5 linked regions of the Sus scrofa genome follow. The protein of the gene in region 5 purifies or fractionates together with the protein of the main gene of each other region. This does not show direct contact. Links are inferred from orthologs where the notes say so. Each region holds a gene or a part of one and is shown on either strand. Other genes may lie near its edges. The genes, in order: EXOC3, EXOC6, EXOC8, EXOC7 and EXOC2.

The links.
Region 1: the proteins of EXOC2 (region 5) and EXOC3 purify together in Homo sapiens (affinity purification with mass spectrometry; 6 studies listed by BioGRID and IntAct, counting the BioPlex papers as one, with this or other methods). This does not show direct contact. The link is inferred for Sus scrofa from reciprocal best matches to the Homo sapiens genes EXOC2 and EXOC3.
Region 2: the proteins of EXOC2 (region 5) and EXOC6 purify together in Homo sapiens (affinity purification with mass spectrometry; 5 studies listed by BioGRID and IntAct, counting the BioPlex papers as one, with this or other methods). This does not show direct contact. The link is inferred for Sus scrofa from reciprocal best matches to the Homo sapiens genes EXOC2 and EXOC6.
Region 3: the proteins of EXOC2 (region 5) and EXOC8 purify together in Homo sapiens (affinity purification with mass spectrometry; 7 studies listed by BioGRID and IntAct, counting the BioPlex papers as one, with this or other methods). This does not show direct contact. The link is inferred for Sus scrofa from reciprocal best matches to the Homo sapiens genes EXOC2 and EXOC8.
Region 4: the proteins of EXOC2 (region 5) and EXOC7 fractionate together in Homo sapiens (co-fractionation; 4 studies listed by BioGRID, with this or other methods). This does not show direct contact. The link is inferred for Sus scrofa from reciprocal best matches to the Homo sapiens genes EXOC2 and EXOC7.

Annotation. Positions count from the first base shown.
Region 1 is NC_010458.4:79,727,473-79,731,566, reverse strand, and holds the start of EXOC3 (exocyst complex component 3), read left to right. Parts: upstream 1-1,294; 5' UTR 1,295-1,543; exon of another isoform or gene 1,544-1,717; intron 1,718-2,676; 5' UTR 2,677-2,723; coding exon 2,724-2,867; intron 2,868-4,094. UniProt on the Homo sapiens protein: Component of the exocyst complex involved in the docking of exocytic vesicles with fusion sites on the plasma membrane.
Region 2 is NC_010456.5:104,546,943-104,550,153, forward strand, and holds the end of EXOC6 (exocyst complex component 6), read left to right. Parts: intron 1-221; coding exon 222-334; intron 335-1,433; coding exon 1,434-1,566; 3' UTR 1,567-2,696; downstream 2,697-3,211. UniProt on the Homo sapiens protein: Component of the exocyst complex involved in the docking of exocytic vesicles with fusion sites on the plasma membrane.
Region 3 is NC_010456.5:59,190,961-59,195,159, forward strand, and holds the start of EXOC8 (exocyst complex component 8), read left to right. Parts: upstream 1-1,384; 5' UTR 1,385-1,586; coding exon 1,587-3,770; 3' UTR 3,771-4,199. UniProt on the Homo sapiens protein: Component of the exocyst complex involved in the docking of exocytic vesicles with fusion sites on the plasma membrane.
Region 4 is NC_010454.4:5,341,484-5,344,998, forward strand, and holds part of EXOC7 (exocyst complex component 7), read left to right. Parts: intron 1-1,204; coding exon 1,205-1,372; intron 1,373-3,515. UniProt on the Homo sapiens protein: Component of the exocyst complex involved in the docking of exocytic vesicles with fusion sites on the plasma membrane.
Region 5 is NC_010449.5:240,440-243,954, forward strand, and holds part of EXOC2 (exocyst complex component 2), read right to left. Parts: intron 2,681-3,515; coding exon 2,614-2,680; intron 697-2,613; coding exon 580-696; intron 1-579. UniProt on the Homo sapiens protein: Component of the exocyst complex involved in the docking of exocytic vesicles with fusion sites on the plasma membrane.

The sequences.
Region 1 (4,094 bases), on a different chromosome or scaffold from region 5:
ACGTGCACCAAACTGGTCACGGTTGGTGGACAGGCAGATTAAGCCTTGTTGGTGTGGAATCAGCATCTGGACACCAGCTCTGAGGGGTTTGTGTTCTAAAGGTACCATCATGCTTGGGACCCAGGTCCTGATGTGCCCTGGTCCCTTCCTCTGCTGGGTCGGTGGCAACAAAACTTCCCCCAGTCAGCACTTTTGTGATTTTACAGCCATGCCCCTATGGAAAAATTGTGTGGGGAAGGTGATGATGGAATGTAGAAGGTCAGATCTGGCCATTTCTGTAGGCGTGGCCATTTCTGCTTTAAAATGTCATTACCAGTACTAATTACCGGCTTATATGTTTCTATTGTCTGTAGCTTTTGGCTGTGTAGCTGAGAACATATTAAAATCAAGTATACAGGAATGATATGGAAGGGAAAAGACAAACACAAATTGTATTTTATATTTTTGCAGTTTCTACTGGATGAAAAAAACTTTCAATATGGAGACTGACTCGTTGAATTTTTAAAAATTGGATGCACTATAATGTAACTTTTTGTACTTTTTCTCAGTGCCTTTAGAAAGAGCTTTCAAATGCATTTCTGATACTGTGGTTCTTGTTAAATTCGCAATATGGATGTAAAATAAATGTTAGTATGTGTCTGCTTTAAGTGGAAATGTCTTCTTGATTTTGCAAATGAAGCCCCGCCATCAGATGTTCTAGCTTTGTCTCTGCGAAGTGGTAGTGAGCTGTTCTATGTGCATTTCCTTCCTTCAGTCCATCCCCTGCTGAATACCAGGCCCTGTGATAGTGCTTAAGACACATTAGGAAAAAAAGATGGAGAAATGCGGCTGTGCTGCCGCTGACACCCCTGTGCACGTGTACAGGGGACGGGGTGCAGATAAGTGACCCAAGAGCTGGGTAAATTCTGCAACGCCTCTGGAGGGAACATGGCGGCACAGATGGAACAGCTGGGGTCTTATAGCCAAGCGGCGATTTTGTGGGAAAGGCGGCCTCTGGGCCAAGACGGGGCAGGAGGTGGAGGAGGCCCAGGGACTGGAGGCCCCGCGAGGGCGGGGGCTGGGAGGTTTGGGTTTATAGGGCCACCGCACTGGGGGACTCATACACCTGCCCCCACGTGCCCCCTGCCCCCACGAGCCCAGGCGTGTGCATGTGTGTGCTTGTGCGCCCCGTGTGTGCGGTGTGGCCTGTCTATATGTGGTGTGTGTAGGGTGTCTGCGTGCCTGTGACGTCCGTGAGAGGCGTCTCCGCGCTGGGTGTATGCGCTCGCGCTCCGCCCCTCAGGCTTCAGCCCAGCCGCCCGGTTCCCGGCTCCGCGCTCGTCCCGCAGCCCCGGCCGACTCTCGGCGGGTGCCGGTCGACAGCGGGTCCCGGTCGACAGCGGGTCCCTATCGACAGCGGGTCCCGAAATCTCCCAGCTCTGTGCACAGGGACCCGCCCAACAAAGGTCCCGCCCGCCGGGCCCACCCCCTTCCGGTCACGAGGCCGGAAGCGGAAGTGCCGGTCGCGGCTCACTTCCGGGCGGCGGCGGCGGCGGCTCGCAAGGTGAGGCCGCTGCGGGCGGGTGGCACAGTCCGGGAGTCGCGGTCCGTGGCCGCTGTCCTCTCCCCGGGCTCGGGCGGGTGCGGGCGCGGCCGGAAGGCAGTGCGGGAGGCCGTGGGAGGCCCGGGGACGGTCCGTGGAGAGGCTGACGGCGCGCCAGGCGGTGGGGAGTAGCAGGTGCAGAGCTGCGGGCGCGGCTGGGGGTCCGCGGCGGAGACGGGCGGGGAGACACGCCGGCGCCCCCCAGCCCCGTGTGTCCCGTCGTGTGCGCGGTGCCCTAGTCAGCACCGGGAGGGGAGAGACGGCGCCACAGCACATTCCGAGAGAACACGGAACGCACTCGTGTGCAGACGGGGGAGTTATTTCACAGGTCCCTCAAGGGTCTCCGCGGACCTCGCGTTGCTTTGAGAAATATCTTTGAGAAGCCGTGCGCAGAAAATGTGCATGGAAATGGACTTCAGTAGCTGAAGTCAGTCCTCTGCTTTGCCGAAAGCTCAGCAGGCGTCGCCAGCTCCCTGGCTGGCAGGTTGGAGGAGCTGGCGCTGAAGGCAGGTGTGCTTGTATGCAGCATCTGTGCTGTGTACATTGCATCTGAGCAGAGTGCCTTGTGCCCTCTCACCTCTGTTTACTAGGGCTGTTAAGCAGTAGGGAATGGAATTTTGGGTGCTACAGACAGTGATTTTGAGGGGGATCAGAGGATGGTGCTCAAACTTGAGCAGGCACGGTAAAGTGTGTGCTGTCACTGTGCCTCCATAGCTTTCCTGAGGCGTCCTGGCACCTCGGCCCCACTGGCTAGTCAGGGCTGGTGGCAATTAGAAATTGGACCTGTCCGGGGGAGATTGACATCTGAGGTGCTGAGTAGTCTGGATCCGCATGTTAATATCTTATGCTTGTAATTGCCTCTGCGCCCCTTAGGGATAACACTGGGTTCTGAAGGTTTGTGTTTCATATCAAGGAGGTCATAATCCTAGCTCAGCTGTGTTTCATGTCTATTAGATTAATGATCTCAAATGCTCTCCTTATAGCTCCACTGTGAACAACTGAATGTTACTGGAGCAGGGGGATGCTTTGTACCTGACATCTCTACCTTCCTGACACATCCTCCTCTCCTGTTCTGTCTCTGCCTGTGGACACAGGGTATCCCTAGTATGACAGGTGCAGAGATTCTGCCTGCTCTGTAACCATGAAGGAGACGGACCGGGAGGCTGTTGCAACAGCTGTCCAGAGGGTTGCCGGGATGCTCCAGCGCCCGGACCAGCTGGACAAAGTGGAGCAGTACCGCAGAAGAGAGGCCAGGAAGAAGGCCTCCGTGGAAGCCAGGCTGAAGGTATGAGACTGGAGTGGAGACTGGGGTGGCTGTGGGCGCCTGCTTCACTCTCAGGCTGGACCGAGCCTTTTGTCCCAAGTTCAGGTTCCTGCTTAGCAGAATCATTGTAATTTTGCCGAGCTGGGCTTTGTGATGCCATGAAGAGAGGCAGGCCATGGACTTTGCCTTTGTTAGTGCATCCTTTCCAACAGTTCCTTGCCAGCCGGTAGGTTTATAGAGAAGACCGTGGGAAGATTTAAAAAGCCAGAGGAACAGTCTTTTAAGCACCCAGAAGTGTCCATTTAACTATTTAAAAAAACACTTATTTACTAAAAACTTTCCTTCAGACTGTGTCCAGAGGGCATTTCGTTTGGATCCTGCTAGCACACACAGCAGGAGGCTGACTGTGTGCCAGGCACTCTGCAGGCCCTGGGATGGGAAAGAGGAGAGCTGACCACATTTACTAGAGTGTGTGAGAGTGAGGCAAGAAAGAAAGGCGGCAGCCTTTTATGATTTAGATTGGCTTTCAGCTCATTTCATGTGGAGAGATGAGGTTCTTTTAAAATAATGCACATTTGGTACAGTTATAAAAAAGTTAAGAACCTGGCCTGTTATAGTTGCCTGGCAGCACAGCAGTCTTTGCGGATTTAAGAGAATGCCTTTGATACATGTACACAATGAAATATTACTCAGCCATTAAAAGTAAAGAAAGAATGGCATTTGTAGCAACGTGGTTGGACCAAGAAAATTATCATGCCAAGTGGAGTTAGACAGTGAGACACCAATGTCATATGCTGTCACATGTGGAATTGAAAAAAGGGCACAAGGAACTTCTTTGCATAACAGACACTAACTCACTTTGAAAAACTTTCGGTTTCCAAAGGAGACAGGTTGGGGGTGGGGGGATGGGCTGGGGGTTTGGGATAGAAATGCTGTAAAATTTGGTTGTGATGATTGTTGTACACCTACAAATGGAATAAAATTCATTGAGTTAAAAACACAAAGGGAGAGAATGGCTGTGAGGAAGGTGAATCTTCCCAGCGAGGCGGCAGTGAGGCCCCCTCCAGGTGAAAAGCATTGGTAGCGTCCAGATAATGGCGAGTGTGATGAGATGGAAGGGTGATCACTCATTTGCACCAGCAAAGCATTGAAAGACCTGTTAGGCTGGCTTGAAACAGTTTCATGTCAATTTTAAAAATAGTTTAGACCTGCTACTTTTTTGTGTGTGTGCTTTTTTTAGGGCCGTAC
Region 2 (3,211 bases), on a different chromosome or scaffold from region 5:
AAGCAACCTCTGACAATTTTAGTAATTTCAAAAGTGAAAAGATATTATACACTATGTTGGTTATAAAATGTAGTTAATGCAGTTTTTAAGAATGAATTTCCTTATTATGTTCCATCTGAGAAGCAGGTCACATTAAAATGGATCAAGAGCAGCATATACTTTATATTATCTGTAGATAAATAGCCAAAAATTGGTTTAACGTGTTTCCACATCTTCCTCAGCTCCTTGATCTGTTTATGGTTTGGGACTGGTCTACTTATCTAGCTGATTATGGTCAGCCAGCTTCCAAGTACCTTCGGGTGAATCCAAACACAGCCCTTACTCTTCTAGAGAAGTGAGTATATTCTGCAGTTTTCTTTGCATACCATTTAAGCATTTTGCGATTCAGTGATACTTGAAGAACTAGGGATTTTTATCAAAAGAAAAATGTCTCCATGAGCTTCCAAGTTCAGTTCTTTTCAATGACCAAAACTTAAGCCTCTGTCTTACTCGCCTTCAATGTCAGTGTAATTTTATATGAGATTGCTGTTTACGTTGATATGAACAAAACATTTTTCCTATTGTACCCTCAATACCTGGCTTAATTGGCTTTAGAAATACGTTTACTGGAGGTAAGTGAGAATTGGAACTATTTTTTAAAAATACTGTAACACAGGAAAGAAGGTATTTTGTAAAACATAGCCAGGGATTGGAATGTTTGCCACCAGTGCTGTCTAAATCCTACCATGATGGGCTTGGATTCTTTACAGGTAGAGAAGTATGAGTTTTGAAAAAATAATATTATAAAAACTGAATTAACCAGCGCGCCCTTTCCAGTTAGTAATAACACAACTGTAGGTACTACTTTTCCTTCTCATTATGTGGCAGGTTTTCTTTTCACTTTAGCCTATTTCATTTCATTTTTTTAATCATTTTTCACTTTAAATATCACTATTACAATTTTCAATTTTCCCACATTTCAGAATATCTGTGGTGTATTTGATTTGAGAGAAAACAAATACCTATTTTAAATAAATGTAAACTTGTTTTACAGTGCCATAAAACACAACTGAGGCAAAAAATTTGCTGCTTTAAATTTTCTAGTGTTACTTTTGCTTTCACCCTGTCTTGCTCTGAGTGATACGCAAAGTCTAGAGGGTATATGTTTTAGCATACTTTATGAATGGTATGAGAAAACTTAACATGCTTTATATTTGCATACTAATGCAAAAAGAGGACTTCATATAGAATGCAAAATAAAGCTGCTAATAATCTGTGTGGTTGCTATCTCTGTAATTCTATTAGTAGTACCTATTTTCTTTGAAGTATATTTTTCAAGCATAGGATTAGGGTGAGCTAATCCAGAGCACACCGAGATATTTTACTTGTGACAGTGCAACTTTTAATTTCCTTTTACTAATAAACATTTCATAATAATTCACATATATTCCTAGGATGAAGGATACTAGCAAAAAGAACAATATATTTGCTCAATTCAGAAAGAATGATCGAGACAAACAGAAGTTGATAGAGACAGTCGTGAAACAGCTGAGAAGTTTGGTGAATGGTATGTCCCAGCACTCATAGACTTCACATCGCTTGCACTCAGTGACACCAAATCCGTGACTCATCATTGATCTCTGACAGGCACTGCTCATGATACAGAAAGTTGTTTGAAGAATTCGAAAATACATTAGAGAAAAGACACTGATGAGAGCTTAAACAAGAAACAATTATAAATATCATTTGTATGGATTTTTAAATAATTGAATACTATTTTATATATGGAAAATGTGACATTAATTTTTTTCACTTTTAGGGAAAAAAGGCAAGACTGTAATATATAAATAAGGTCAAAATGTATATGAAACTGATTGTAAATATATTAGAAAAACTTACGTCTCTACATATAAGTATTCTTTTTCTATTTAGACGTAAATGATTTTTTCTGGGTTTTTTTTTTTCCCTCAGTATCTGGTTTTGGAATGCAATTATGTCTGATATTTCATTTTCTGACCTTTTAGCTTGAATTTTTACCTTAGTGTGATTTAAGTAGACTAAGTTTTCCAATTCTGCTGATTCTGAGGAAGGAATAGACAAATCTTTAAAGGCCACTGAAATCAAACTTGATTTAACCCAATAAGAATGTGAATTATTTGTTCTACTGAGGTGGTTTAATTTAATCTGAAGCTATGAAGAAAAGGTGTTTGGATTTTCTACAGAGGCAATGTTGTTTCTGTTCAGCAGGATTAATATTTCTAACTATATTGTTTGTGGCTGACCCTATTTATTTAGTTTGGTTTGGTTCAAGTTAGAAGGACAGAAACTAAACGGCTAACCACCTCAGATGCAGCTTGTGCTAGGATAGAAGTGTTCCTACACACAGAAGTCACCACAGGGGTCAGGTTACCTTCTTCAAAGAGCAGCTCTGAGTACTGTATCCTTACTGTGGAAACAAACCAAACCGAATGAACTCTGGAAAACCCAAAACGAATGTACATTTACTCTGTGTAAAGTACTACGGTCCAAATGGCAATGTCAGCCTGATCCTTACTTTCTCTTCATTGTATTTATGCTGAATGGTCCTTTTGCATTTTCAGGATTTATGCCTGTAAGAAACTTATGTTTGACTCTGTAAAAATAAGTGTAAAGAATTACATGTATGTTTTTTGATTTTGTGATGAAATATTAAAAAGGTTGAGCAAGTTGAAAATTCATTACTATTGTATCTATTTAGAGCCACTTAAAATAACTGCTTCCTTCAGAAAGGCTATTATTCTCTGGTAATTGGAAAGTGTCATCAAAGCAAAGAAAACAATCATATATTCCCTTGGCCAGCTCTTATTCAAAAGTATTTAACATTTTAAAAAACGTTACATAGAAAACATGGTAACAATACAATCTGGAAGTTACAAGAGAAGCAGAATGGGTGAACAGCTAGTTCACCTCAAAGCTAGCTCTCTCTGAGGACTGGAATGTGGTGTCCCTTGGGTGCCTTACCCAGCCCTCCAGGGCACTCAGAACGTCTCCAGCTTGGGCTGAGGCATCCTCGATTCGGAGAGAGAGACATGCTGTCTTTGCACTGCCTGCGGCAGACCACTGTGGGTCCTCAGCAGTGATGGATTTGAGGAGTTCACTTTACTCTTTTCAGTAAAACAAGCACCCTGCACTCTCCCCCACCCCCAACTTCGAGTTGCGCGCTGTAGCGACTATAACCCTGAGACCTGGGACA
Region 3 (4,199 bases), on a different chromosome or scaffold from region 5:
TCCCATCCTGCTGCTGCCTGTCCTCTCCCTAAAAGGTGTAATCAACCAGTCTGTGGTGGAAAGGGCCAGATCTCCACTAGTGTTCCTCCGAAATTATAATTATATATGAAGGAGAACTGTGCTTTCAACGCAACTTCATATCATATCTTAACTCCTTATTCTAGGTGGTTTTGTATCAATTCAAAAACTAGCAGGTAGTGTTCAGCTACACCTTAAACTTGTTAACTCCGTTGGTGTACAGGAGTCGTTTATTTCAAAAGGGGTTTTCTCCAACTCAGCGGGTAAGAAAAGGGTCCTTTCACAGGGCTCCCGGAAGACCCCCGCGTCCCAAAGTTATGGAAACATAGACCCCTTCCCAAGCTGACACACGGCTCACTGCAAGGCAGCGGCGCCGTAAAGACCACAGCTGAGGACAGCACACTTCCCGGCGCCCTCAGCATCTTTAGGGGCCGATTCTGGCTGTTTCTCCCTCCTGGGTCCTAGATCAGAAAGGGGAAAGGGGTGAACTCATTTTCCTGGAAACTGAGAAACATCCTTCTCTCTCACTGTGTTCCTTACCGGTCAGATCGCCGCGGGGTGGGCCACACGGCTTTCTGAGAGCTAACCAAGGGCAGTGAGAGAGGAAGGAAGGGAAGGGAGAGGAAGCCCGAGAACGGCTGGCTGTCCCTAGACCCGACCCGGGTCACTGCCCCGGCGCCGGGGCAGCGGAAGGGCCGCCAGCTGTCCGGTCCCGGCGGGCTCGGCACTCACAGCGTCATCCGCACGCTCCACTTCACTTCCACCGCCTCCAGTTTGCCCCAGAAGAAACGATCGTTGAACTGCACAAACAGGGCCTGCAAATCCGGCGTGGGGTCCACCAACTCCCAGGACGCGTCCACCAGCGACAGGGGCTCCTGGGCCGGATTGCGCTCCGAGACCTGCAAGTTCCACTCTTCCTGAAGCCGAAGAGCCAGAACCAGGTCCTCATCCATGGCTGCCCGGCTACCAGGCGGAGTCCAGATGGCTCAGAGAGCCTAGCCGTGCTCCTAGGAGATACCAGCTCCCAGGCCACTCTCGGGTCAGGCCACAGATCTCGCGAGACCTAGTAAACTCCGGCTCGAGAAAGAGAACCGAGCGTGCCCCGAACTCCAGTCAAGATTCTAGGGCTTAAAACAACAAAGAAAATTCAGCATGACACCTCCTAGTGGGCTCAACACTTGGGTTCCCGAAGCTTGAGCCCGAGGAAGGTTTCAAGTAGCCGGATACCGCCTTTACGGTTCGCGGGTACGGTCAAACATCAACGTCATGCTCGGCCCATGCGCAGTATCTACACCTCGCTGCTCCGCCCTCCACTCGCTTCCGCAGGAGCTTCTCCGGCGCATGCGCCCTAGGCCACTGGCGACCCTGCGCCGGCGCGCTGTTTGCGAGGGGCATCTTGCGCAGGCGCAGTGTCCGGACTTCAGACCCGGGCGCAGGCGTACTCGCCTGTCTTCCATCCTGCTTCCTCAGCCCTGGACTCGGCCGGGTTGGGTGGGCCTCGACAGTGGCGGCGGCGGCAGCGGCGGCGGTAGTAATAGTGACAGTGACTACGTGAGTCCCCGACGGAAATGGCGATGGCGATGTCAGACAGTGGGGCGAGCCGCCTGCGGCGGCAGCTGGAGTCGGGCAGCTTCGAGGCGCGGCTGTACGTGAAGCAGCTCTCGCAGCAGTCGGACGGGGACCGGGACCTGCAGGAGCACCGGCAGCGCATCCAGGCGCTGGCGGAGGAGACGGCGCAGAACCTGAAGCGTAACGTCTACCAGAACTACCGGCAGTTCATAGAGACGGCCCGCGAGATCTCCTACCTGGAGAGCGAGATGTACCAGCTTAGCCATCTGCTGACCGAGCAGAAGAGCAACCTGGAGAGCATCCCGCTCACCCTGCTGCCGGCCGCCGCCGCAGCCGCTGCTGGGGCCGCCACCGCCTCCGGAGGGGAGGAGGGTGGAGGCAGCGCGGGGGGCCGCGATCACCTCCGGGGCCAGGCTGGCTTTTTCCCAAGTCCCGGGGGCGCCTCCCGCGACAGTTCTGGTCCGGGCGAGGAAGGGAAGCAGCGCACTCTTACCACTCTGCTGGAGAAGGTGGAAGGCTGCAGGCACCTGCTGGAGACGCCGGGACAGTACCTGGTGTACAACGGGGACCTGGTGGAATACGAGGCGGATCATATGGCCCAGTTGCAGCGAGTGCACGGCTTTCTCATGAACGACTGTTTGCTGGTGGCCACCTGGTTGCCACAGCGGCGGGGGATGTATCGCTACGACGCCCTCTATCCCCTGGATGGTTTGGCCGTAGTCAATGTCAAGGACAATCCCCCCATGAAGGACATGTTCAAGTTGCTAATGTTTCCCGAGAGTCGTATTTTTCAGGCGGAAAATGCAAAAATCAAACGCGAGTGGCTGGAAGTGTTGGAGGAAACCAAGAGGGCCCTCAGTGAGAAAAGACGCAGGGAGCAGGAGGAGGCAGCGGCCCCTCGAGGGCCACCCCAAGTGACTTCCAAGGCCAGCAACCCGTTTGAAGATGAAGACGACGACGAACCAGCTGTTCCTGAGGCGGAAGAAGAGAAGGTGGACCTCTCAATGGAATGGATCCAGGAATTGCCCGAAGACCTGGATGTTTGCATCGCCCAGAGGGACTTTGAAGGGGCCGTTGACCTGCTGGATAAGTTGAACCAGTACCTGGAAGATAAGCCCAGTCCACCTGCTGTAAAAGAACTGAGGGCCAGAGTGGATGAGCGTGTCCGCCAGCTCACCGAGGTGCTGGTTTTTGAACTCTCCCCGGATCGGTCCCTGAGAGGCGGTCCCAAGGCTACGCGTCGGGCCGTTTCTCAACTAATCCGGCTTGGCCAGTGCACTAAGGCTTGCGAGCTGTTCTTGAGAAACAGGGCAGCAGCTGTGCATACCGCAATCCGCCAGCTTCGCATCGAGGGTGCCACCTTACTCTATATTCACAAGCTCTGCCACGTCTTCTTCACCAGCCTTCTCGAGACGGCCAGGGAGTTTGAGGCGGACTTCGCAGGCACCGACGGGGGCTGCTACTCGGCCTTCGTGGTCTGGGCGAGGTCAGCCCTGGGCACGTTTGCGGCTGCCTTTAGCAAACAGGTGTTCGACAGTAAGGAGAGCCTCTCCACTGCAGCTGAGTGTGTGAAGGTGGCCAAGGAGCATTGTCAGCAGCTGGGTGACATCGGGCTAGACCTCACCTTCATCATCCACACCCTCCTGGTGAAAGACATCCAGGGGGCCTTGCACAGCTACAAGGAAATCATCATCGAAGCCACTAAGCATCGCAACTCAGAGGAGATGTGGAGGAGGATGAACTTGATGACTCCAGAGGCCCTGGGTAAACTCAAAGAGGAGATGAAGAGCTGTGGGGTGAGGAACTTTGAGCAGTACACGGGGGATGACTGCTGGGTGAACCTGAGTTACACGGTGGTGGCTTTCACCAAACAGACCATGGGCTTCTTGGAAGAGGCGCTGAAGCTGTATTTCCCGGAGCTGCACATGGTGCTGTTGGAGAGCCTGGTGGAAATCATTTTGGTTGCTGTTCAGCATGTGGATTACAGTCTTCGGTGTGAGCAGGATCCAGAGAAGAAGAATTTTATCAGACAGAATGCATCCTTTCTGTACGAAACAGTCCTGCCTGTGGTGGAGAAAAGGTTTGAGGAAGGTGTGGGGAAACCCGCCAAGCAACTTCAGGACCTGAGAAATGCATCGAGACTGATTCGTGTGAATCCCGAAAGTACAACGTCAGTGGTCTGACACCTGGACCTGTTTATGTGTATACGTATATATGGCTTATATATATTATTTATATTTATATTAAGTTGCATTAGCGTATTCTTTATAGTCTCAAACACAGCCTAAAAATAAAAGATGCCTTCTCAGAAATGCGAAAATCAAAAGGAGATTGAAAAACATGTTAAACCCACGTAACAAAAACATTGAATTAGTAGAACATACAATATGCTTTCCTTTTAAATTATGCTAACTCTCTAATGACTATATATCGTCACACCAGAGCATTTCAACTTGTGTTTTGAAAGTTTCCCAGTTCACTAGGTTTCTTAAAGGGCACAGTGCCATTCCTGCCTCGTGTACTTCTGCACCTTAAAATGTGGTTGAACAATTTGGGGAAAAGAAAGGAGGAGTTGAGAAAACTGGTTTCAGGGTAAATTTTGGTCAACAGAA
Region 4 (3,515 bases), on a different chromosome or scaffold from region 5:
TTTTCACATGGGGTTCCTTGGGATACACTTGTTGGGACCTGCTGAAATGTACCACAGCATCCATACTTCTCCAGGCTCGTTTGCATTTTTGGATTGTCCAGTTTTCTTTAGGGCTGCGCCCATGGCATATGGAGGTTCCCAGGCTAGGGGTTGAATCAGAGCTACAGTTGCCAGTCTACCCCACAGCTGCAGCAACGCAGGATCCAAGCCACATCTGTGACCTACACCACAGCTGATGGCAATGCCGGATCCTTAACCCTCTGAGCGAGGCCAGGGGGGATCGAACCTGCAACCTCATGGTTCCTAGTCAGATTCCTTTCCTCTTTGCCATGATGGGAACCCCCATTGCTCTTCTTATTTAGGGAGTTCTTTGGGGGTATTTTCTCAAAGGTACAGTTATCAGGTAGAACTGTCTGAACAGATCTGTAACCTTCTTGCCGTCTCGAGTTCCTCTCCAGGTAGATGGGACCAGTCTGCTGACCTGTTGACAACCCTGCAGTTATTTCTTCTTCATTAATTTTGCTTATCTTAGCTATTTAACAGGGCTGCCACGGTCCTCTAGTTTTTTTAAATTTGCACTTCGTTCATGGCTAAAGAGATGGTGTGTTTTTTCACTCAGTGACATTCGTTGTCTCTTTACCACCTATAAATTTACCAAGTCGAGGAGTGCCCGCTGTGGCACAGTAGATTAAGGATCCAGTGGTGGCGCAGGTTCAATCCCCGGCAAGCGCAGTGGTTAAGGACCCAGCGTTGCCACAGCGATGGCATAGTTCGAAGCTGCAACTCAGATTTGATCCCTGGCCCAGAAACCTCCATGTGCCGTGGGTGTGGCTGAACAAGATAAAAAAGAATACATTACCAAGTTGAATCCGGCTGCTAATTTTCTATTTTCTTAAAATCTCAAAAACTTACCTGCCCAGCAGAAATTGACAGAACGTTGTAGATCAACTATAATAAAAAAAAATTCTAAAAGAAAAAAAACCCCTCACCTTCAGAACTTACAACGAATTATTGGTTCTGCGGGGAAATGTCTTCCCTTTTAAGGCTTTTCCAGATGCAGGACGAGGCCACGAGGCTGCTGGGAAAGGGTCTGCAAGTGGAAAGAGCGGGCCTGCTGCTGCCCTCTGGAGCTGCCTCTGGCGGGGGAGGGGGGCCCCGGGGTCTGGCGGAGGCAGGGACCCAGCTGTCACCCGTCTGTCCGCAGATTTCATGAACGTCTACTACCAGATCCGCTCGAGCCAGCTGGACCGCTCCATCAAAGGCCTGAAGGAGCACTTCCGGAAGAGCAGTTCTTCCTCTGGGGTTCCCTACTCCCCCGCCATCCCCAACAAGAGGAAAGACACACCCACCAAGAAGCCAGTCAAGCGGCCAGGTGAGCCCCCGCCCTGGCCCACTTCAGAACCCGCCAGAAGGCTGTGGGACCTGGGTGGCCTTTGGCCACCCACCCCGGGGTGGGCGGCGCCAGGGCCCTAGGGTTTGTCCTCACGGTAGCCCCTGACTGTAGGGGCACAGGACAGCAGGCAGGTGTCCGCCCCCCAAAAGAGCTCCTCTCTCCACCCAGCCGAGTCTAGGGCTTATATAAGTGTCCTTGGAGTGGAGGGTCACAGCACGGAGACGTGGGGTGACAGGGGTGCCGGAGCAGAGCCACTTATTGGGCCCCCGTCCTCTCCCTCTAGTGTCCTGTTGGGAGGCCAGGCATGCTGCTGCCACCCAGCTGTGAGATTGGGGCAGGGTGTCAGGGGTGCAGGGCGAGGGGCAGGCACTGCAGCCTTCACCTCCCAGAAAGCCAGAGTGGCCTGAAGTGATGAGTAGCTAAGAAGTGGAGAGCAGAGGAGTTCCCTGGTGGCTCAAAGGGTTAAGGATCTGGTGTTGTCACTGCTGTGGCTCTGGTTACTATTGTGGCGCAGGTTCGATCCCTGGCCCGGGAATTTCCACATGCCTCAGCCATGGCAAAAAAAAAGTAGATACAGGAACGTTTATGCTTTTACAGTCAGTCCAGAAAGAAAACCATCCCAGGCCATCCTCTCCAAAGACCCTCACCTGGCTTTTGGGCTCCGCAAGAAGTTGGTGCCTTGCGGTGGGAGAGTTGAGGGAGGGGCATTGAGGTGGAAGAGGCCTGGGCTGTGGCTTGTTGGTTGGCCTGGGCGAGCAGCTCACTGTCTGTCCTTCTTCCCATCATCCTGTCCCCTGTAGTCTCTGCTCCAGGTGACAGTGTCCCTGTGTGTCAGCTTCGGCTTGACAAGCCTGGCTGTTCTGGCTGCTGAGAGGGGTTGCCTTCGAGAGGCCGGGGTGGGGGTTCCAGCGGAGGGGCTGCAGGCACCAGGAGAGAGAGCCAGCGAGCCCTGGGGCTGCTCCCACTTTCGCCCACCCCGTCCAGCTGCTCTGGGACCCGTCCCTTGGGACAGTGTTTTCCCGAGCTGCCCGGCCTCTCAGAGAGCAGGAGATCTGCTCACAGTGGCCCGAGCATCTGCTCCTCCCCAGCGCTTTGTTCAGGGCTTAGAGAAATGGCAGAGGCTGCCCGCAGAGGCACAGCGTCGAGGTCCAGAGGCCGGGCAGCCCAGCAGAAAGTGCACAGCCTTCCCCTCCAGCTTGGCTCTCCTGGCTGCTCCCTCGGAGAACCTGCCACGGTCAGGGACTCTACAAGCCAGCCAGGGCAGCCGCAGCTGCCTGCTCGAGGCCTGGTTCGTGCCTGTGCCTCGTGCATTGGGCTGCGGCTGTTTCCACGAGGCTGCTGGGCCCCGGCCGGGCTGTGCTTTCTTCCCCTCTGTCTCCTCTGGGACCCCTGGAGGCCTGGAACCCAGGCCACATGCAGGATGCTGCTGGCCATGCAGGGACCAGAGATCTGATCTTTGGGCTCCCAGTGGACCTCATCCATCCCAGCCCTGTAGCCCTAGAAGGAAAACGCCGGCTGTGAGCGTCCCTCTGGTTTCTTTGGGGTTTCAAGGGTTGTCCGGAACCTTGGGGCTCAGGTCCGATGTTGGGAGCTAGAGGCAGGCCCCCAGCTCTTGAGGAGAGGGGCAGGGTGGCCTCGGGGGTAACGAGACACCAGCCTCAGCGACATCCGTGGTAACTGGGCGCCTGATGGCTTTAGCGGCTGCCAGATCAGCGTCCCCGACCCACATACATGCCAGTGTGCTGGCGAGGCTCCTGATGGCCCGGCGGGCCCATCTGGTCCTAGTTGGTTGTGGGGCGGGAATCTGAATCGCTCATTAGCAGGACTACTTGCTGAAGGAGGAGAACACAGCGAGACAGGTGCCGGGCTGGAGCCGCACACTGGCTCATGAGTAACTAATTGTGGTTGGCACAAACAGCCGCTCCAGACGCCGTCCCCTCTCCCTCAGTCCTTTGGGGAGCTGCCAGGACCCCAGCAGGCTCCCCGTGTTCAGAGCTGCGGTGGAGGACCTGGGCGTCTCCAGGGAAAAGGGACCAGATCCCACTCAGGGCTGCCTTCCCGGCCCCGGCCCATCTGGTTATCAGGGCAGCTGCGCATGTCTGTTTTCAGTGCTGTTTTTATA
Region 5 (3,515 bases):
ACGTCTCCATTGGTTTATACAGGACTCATTTCTGCCCAACCTCACTGCACACAGGACTTGAGCGCGGAGCGGAGCGTTTGTACGTTTTAGGCGAGAAGGCACACATCCTGGAGCTGTGCGAAGCCAGTTTCGTGTGTGTGTGTGTGTGTGTGTGTGTGTGTGTGTGTGCGCGCGCGCGCGCTCCAGCACCTGTGCACGTGCTCACGTGCTAAGCCAGGGCAGGGCTGTGGTTGCATGGACGGAATGGGACAGAGAAGCAGAGACGTGCTATCAGCTGGAAGCAGACGCTTTACCCCGAAAGGAGCCAGATCTGGGCTGATTCCTCAAGACCCGGGTTGGGCACCTTTCCGGCCTTTTCTTCGCTCCGCTAAAGGGCTGAGCTGCACCACTGGGAAGAGCGGGGCTCTCACCTCGAGAAGCTGTTCCCTCCAAAGAGGAGAGAGCTGAATTGGCGACCGTGAGCGAGGAGCTATGAGGGCAGGGGAGGAACGGGGTGGGGTGAGCGGGGGGATGGCGCTGAGAACGCGGCTGGAAACAGAGCAGACGACACAACCACTGTCCACCCGCACAGTCGGTTACCTGTGTGATCTTTTCTATGCCCTGGAAGTTGTGCTTTTCAAAGTGTTCTGCTATGTTTCGGAAGGTGTGCCGTTCTAGGTAGCAGCAGTTACTCAGGACTATCAGAAGTCGCTGTTCCTAAAACCAAGTTTTTAGAAAATTACATTTACAGTAACAAATTGCAAGTCTCAGAGATAACATTTATCCCCTAGCAAATTTAATTACAATCACTTGGTGTTTAATATCAATATTCAATGCTTTTTCTAAATTCTTTTAATAACAGAGAAACACAATACAATTCTATAATTCTACTATTGCTCGTTATGACAGAACACTAAAGAGTCAAATAACTTTTGACTCAAATCCCTTTTGGAATTTAATAGCTGTGTGGAAGAGATTGATGGGACACAGAAAAGCAGTCAAGCAGGATCAGCTGCTATTCTCAGGAAAAGGATTCTACTTTTCATCCTTTTTGCACCAAGAGTTATAAAAATGGCTGTTTAAAAATAATTACTAACAAGTTGTAAAACTCTTAGAAAGTAATTTCTAAGCTTCTCATAATGTGGAAGAGAACTGGGATGTCATCAAAGAGGGGCTGTGCAGAGCCTCCTTCCCACGGGAGTCGGGGGACAGGGGCCCGGGGGCCCTCCCAAGGCAGCTGGGTGGGAGGGGGCACCCCACACTCCCCGGGAAGCTAGCTGTGCAGGGTAACTTCTTATCAGAATGACAGAGCCCCGGCTGATGGTAAAACACCCTGTGACAGTTCCCAGAGTGGCGCTGCCGTTGCTTGGGGCTCAGCAAGCACTGCCCCTGCTTCCTCAGGTGAGAGGGCTTCTCCGAAAGGACTGTGACTAATTCGGGCCTTGATTTAGACCCTTGATAAAATGAGGGCAAAACTCCTTTCCAGGAGAAGCTCTCCCCACGCCGTGCTGGCTGCTGGTTGCCAGTCAGGTGCTGTAGGTTAAGGGAGGAGGACAGAGGGAATAACCAGGCCCTGGCAGGTGCACAGACCACAGGGGCGACGCTCACTGAGCCCACACCAGCCAGAATCCCGTTCAGTCCCTTCAAAACGTGTGAAACTTTTTGTCTTTAAAGTTTATTTAAAACTTTATTTTTTATTTATTTCTGGCAGAGTGTGCCCCTTTTGCTGTCTTTTGTGGTCCTCAACAAAAATAATGAAAAAGCCCCAGAACTGCTGAAGTGCATTCAAAGCAATGGAAGGCCGTCTGAGGCCTGAGTGACCGGGGACGGGAAGGGGAGCCTAACGAGGTACAAGCAGGCGGTACGTCCACCCTCCACCAGGCTCTATGTTCACACTGCAGGGAGGGGCACCAGGAGGTGACAGGCGGGGGCCGGGGGAGGCCAGACCTCCTGCCCATGCCTGGTGGTGCCATTGCGTGGTCCTTGCAAAGGACATGGAGCCAAGTCCTTGTGACATGCCATCAGCCCAGAGCACGCCGCCTCGCCATGCTCTCCCGCGGTCCCAGTTTGCAACCCGTCTTAATGGCTCTCCCTCTGGAGCCTGCCCCTGAGCACCGGCCTCCTCCAGAGGCCAGGCCCGGCCTGCCACGCCTGCTGTGCCCCGTCCGTTTGTTAACTCGGGTTGATGGTTACCCTTACGATCTGAACGGTTCTTCTAAAATGGAAAATCTATTTGAGTGATTTCAAGTTTTACTCTTCGTAAGTGCATTTTTTTTTTCTCAAACAGAAGAAACAACCACGGGAAGAAAAACTAAACATACAAATAATCAAATTCTAAAATTAAATGATTCATCAGAAGCTTATGAACAACTTAAATAAACACGTCTGAAAATAACAACGCAACCTGTCCGAGCAGCACCTGCAGCCTGAGGACCACAGTTACTGCAGCCTCTGCGATGCAGGCTCTTCAGCACGCAGCAGGCCAGGAAGCGAACCAGAAACCTTTCTTCCCACAGCTGCCTCTGCTGGATGCCAGAACAGGTCCCTGCGGAGACCTTGGTCACCTGGGCCAAATCCAACGAGCCAGCCACGCGACAGGGAAAAACAGAGGGGCTGCATTCAGAACCTACTTACAGGCGTCAAACTGAGCTCTTGATGGATACTTCCAAACAAATCCGGAGAAGCAACGTCAACGGAGAGGCTGAATAAAGAGACAAGAGAAGAATGAGTGTGGAAGCACTAAAGCAAACAGCGCGAACAGAATGTCATAGGTGGATTACATGCACCGCAACAAAAAAAGACTTCGAAGTCTTTCAGTCAAACGTCAAACGTCGCATAGTTGTCTGTGTTTCTGAGCACGGACACCGGGACCCTCTTACCATGGTTCCTGCCACATGAGCTTCAGGGTCTTCCGAATCCCTAGCAGCGGGGGTTCCGAGCACAGACTCTCCAGCCAAAACGTGCTCGCCCATCAGAATCTAGACATTCTGGGGTGTTCTGAGCTCACGTGCATAGAAATGACTAACAGGTGAGCTGAGTTAGGAACGTCCCTAACAACCCGCAGGCGACCAGACACCTGACGTGGTAGAGGGACGACACCAAGGGCCACGGCTTAGTTGACAGACGCAGCAGGACTCGAACAGGATGTCTTTTCTTTAAGCCTAACCAACCGATTTTAGCATCATAAGGAAAACTAAACAGATGGAAATATCAAACAACATTTAAAAACAGAGAAGCGGGAGTTCCCGTCGTGGCTCAGTGGTTAACAAATCTGACCAGGAACCATGAGGTTGCGGGTTCGATCCCTGGCCTCGTTCGGTGGGTTACGGATCCGGCATTGCCGTGAGCTGTGGTGTAGGGCGCTGATGTGGCTCAGATCCCGAGTTCCTGTGGCTGTGGTGTAGGCTGGCGGCTACAGGTCCGATTGGACCCCTAGCTTGGGACCAACCCTCCATATGTCATCGGTGCGGCCCTAAAAAGACCAAAAAAAAAAAAAAAAAAAAAAGAGAAACAATAAAAGGATAACAATCCAATAA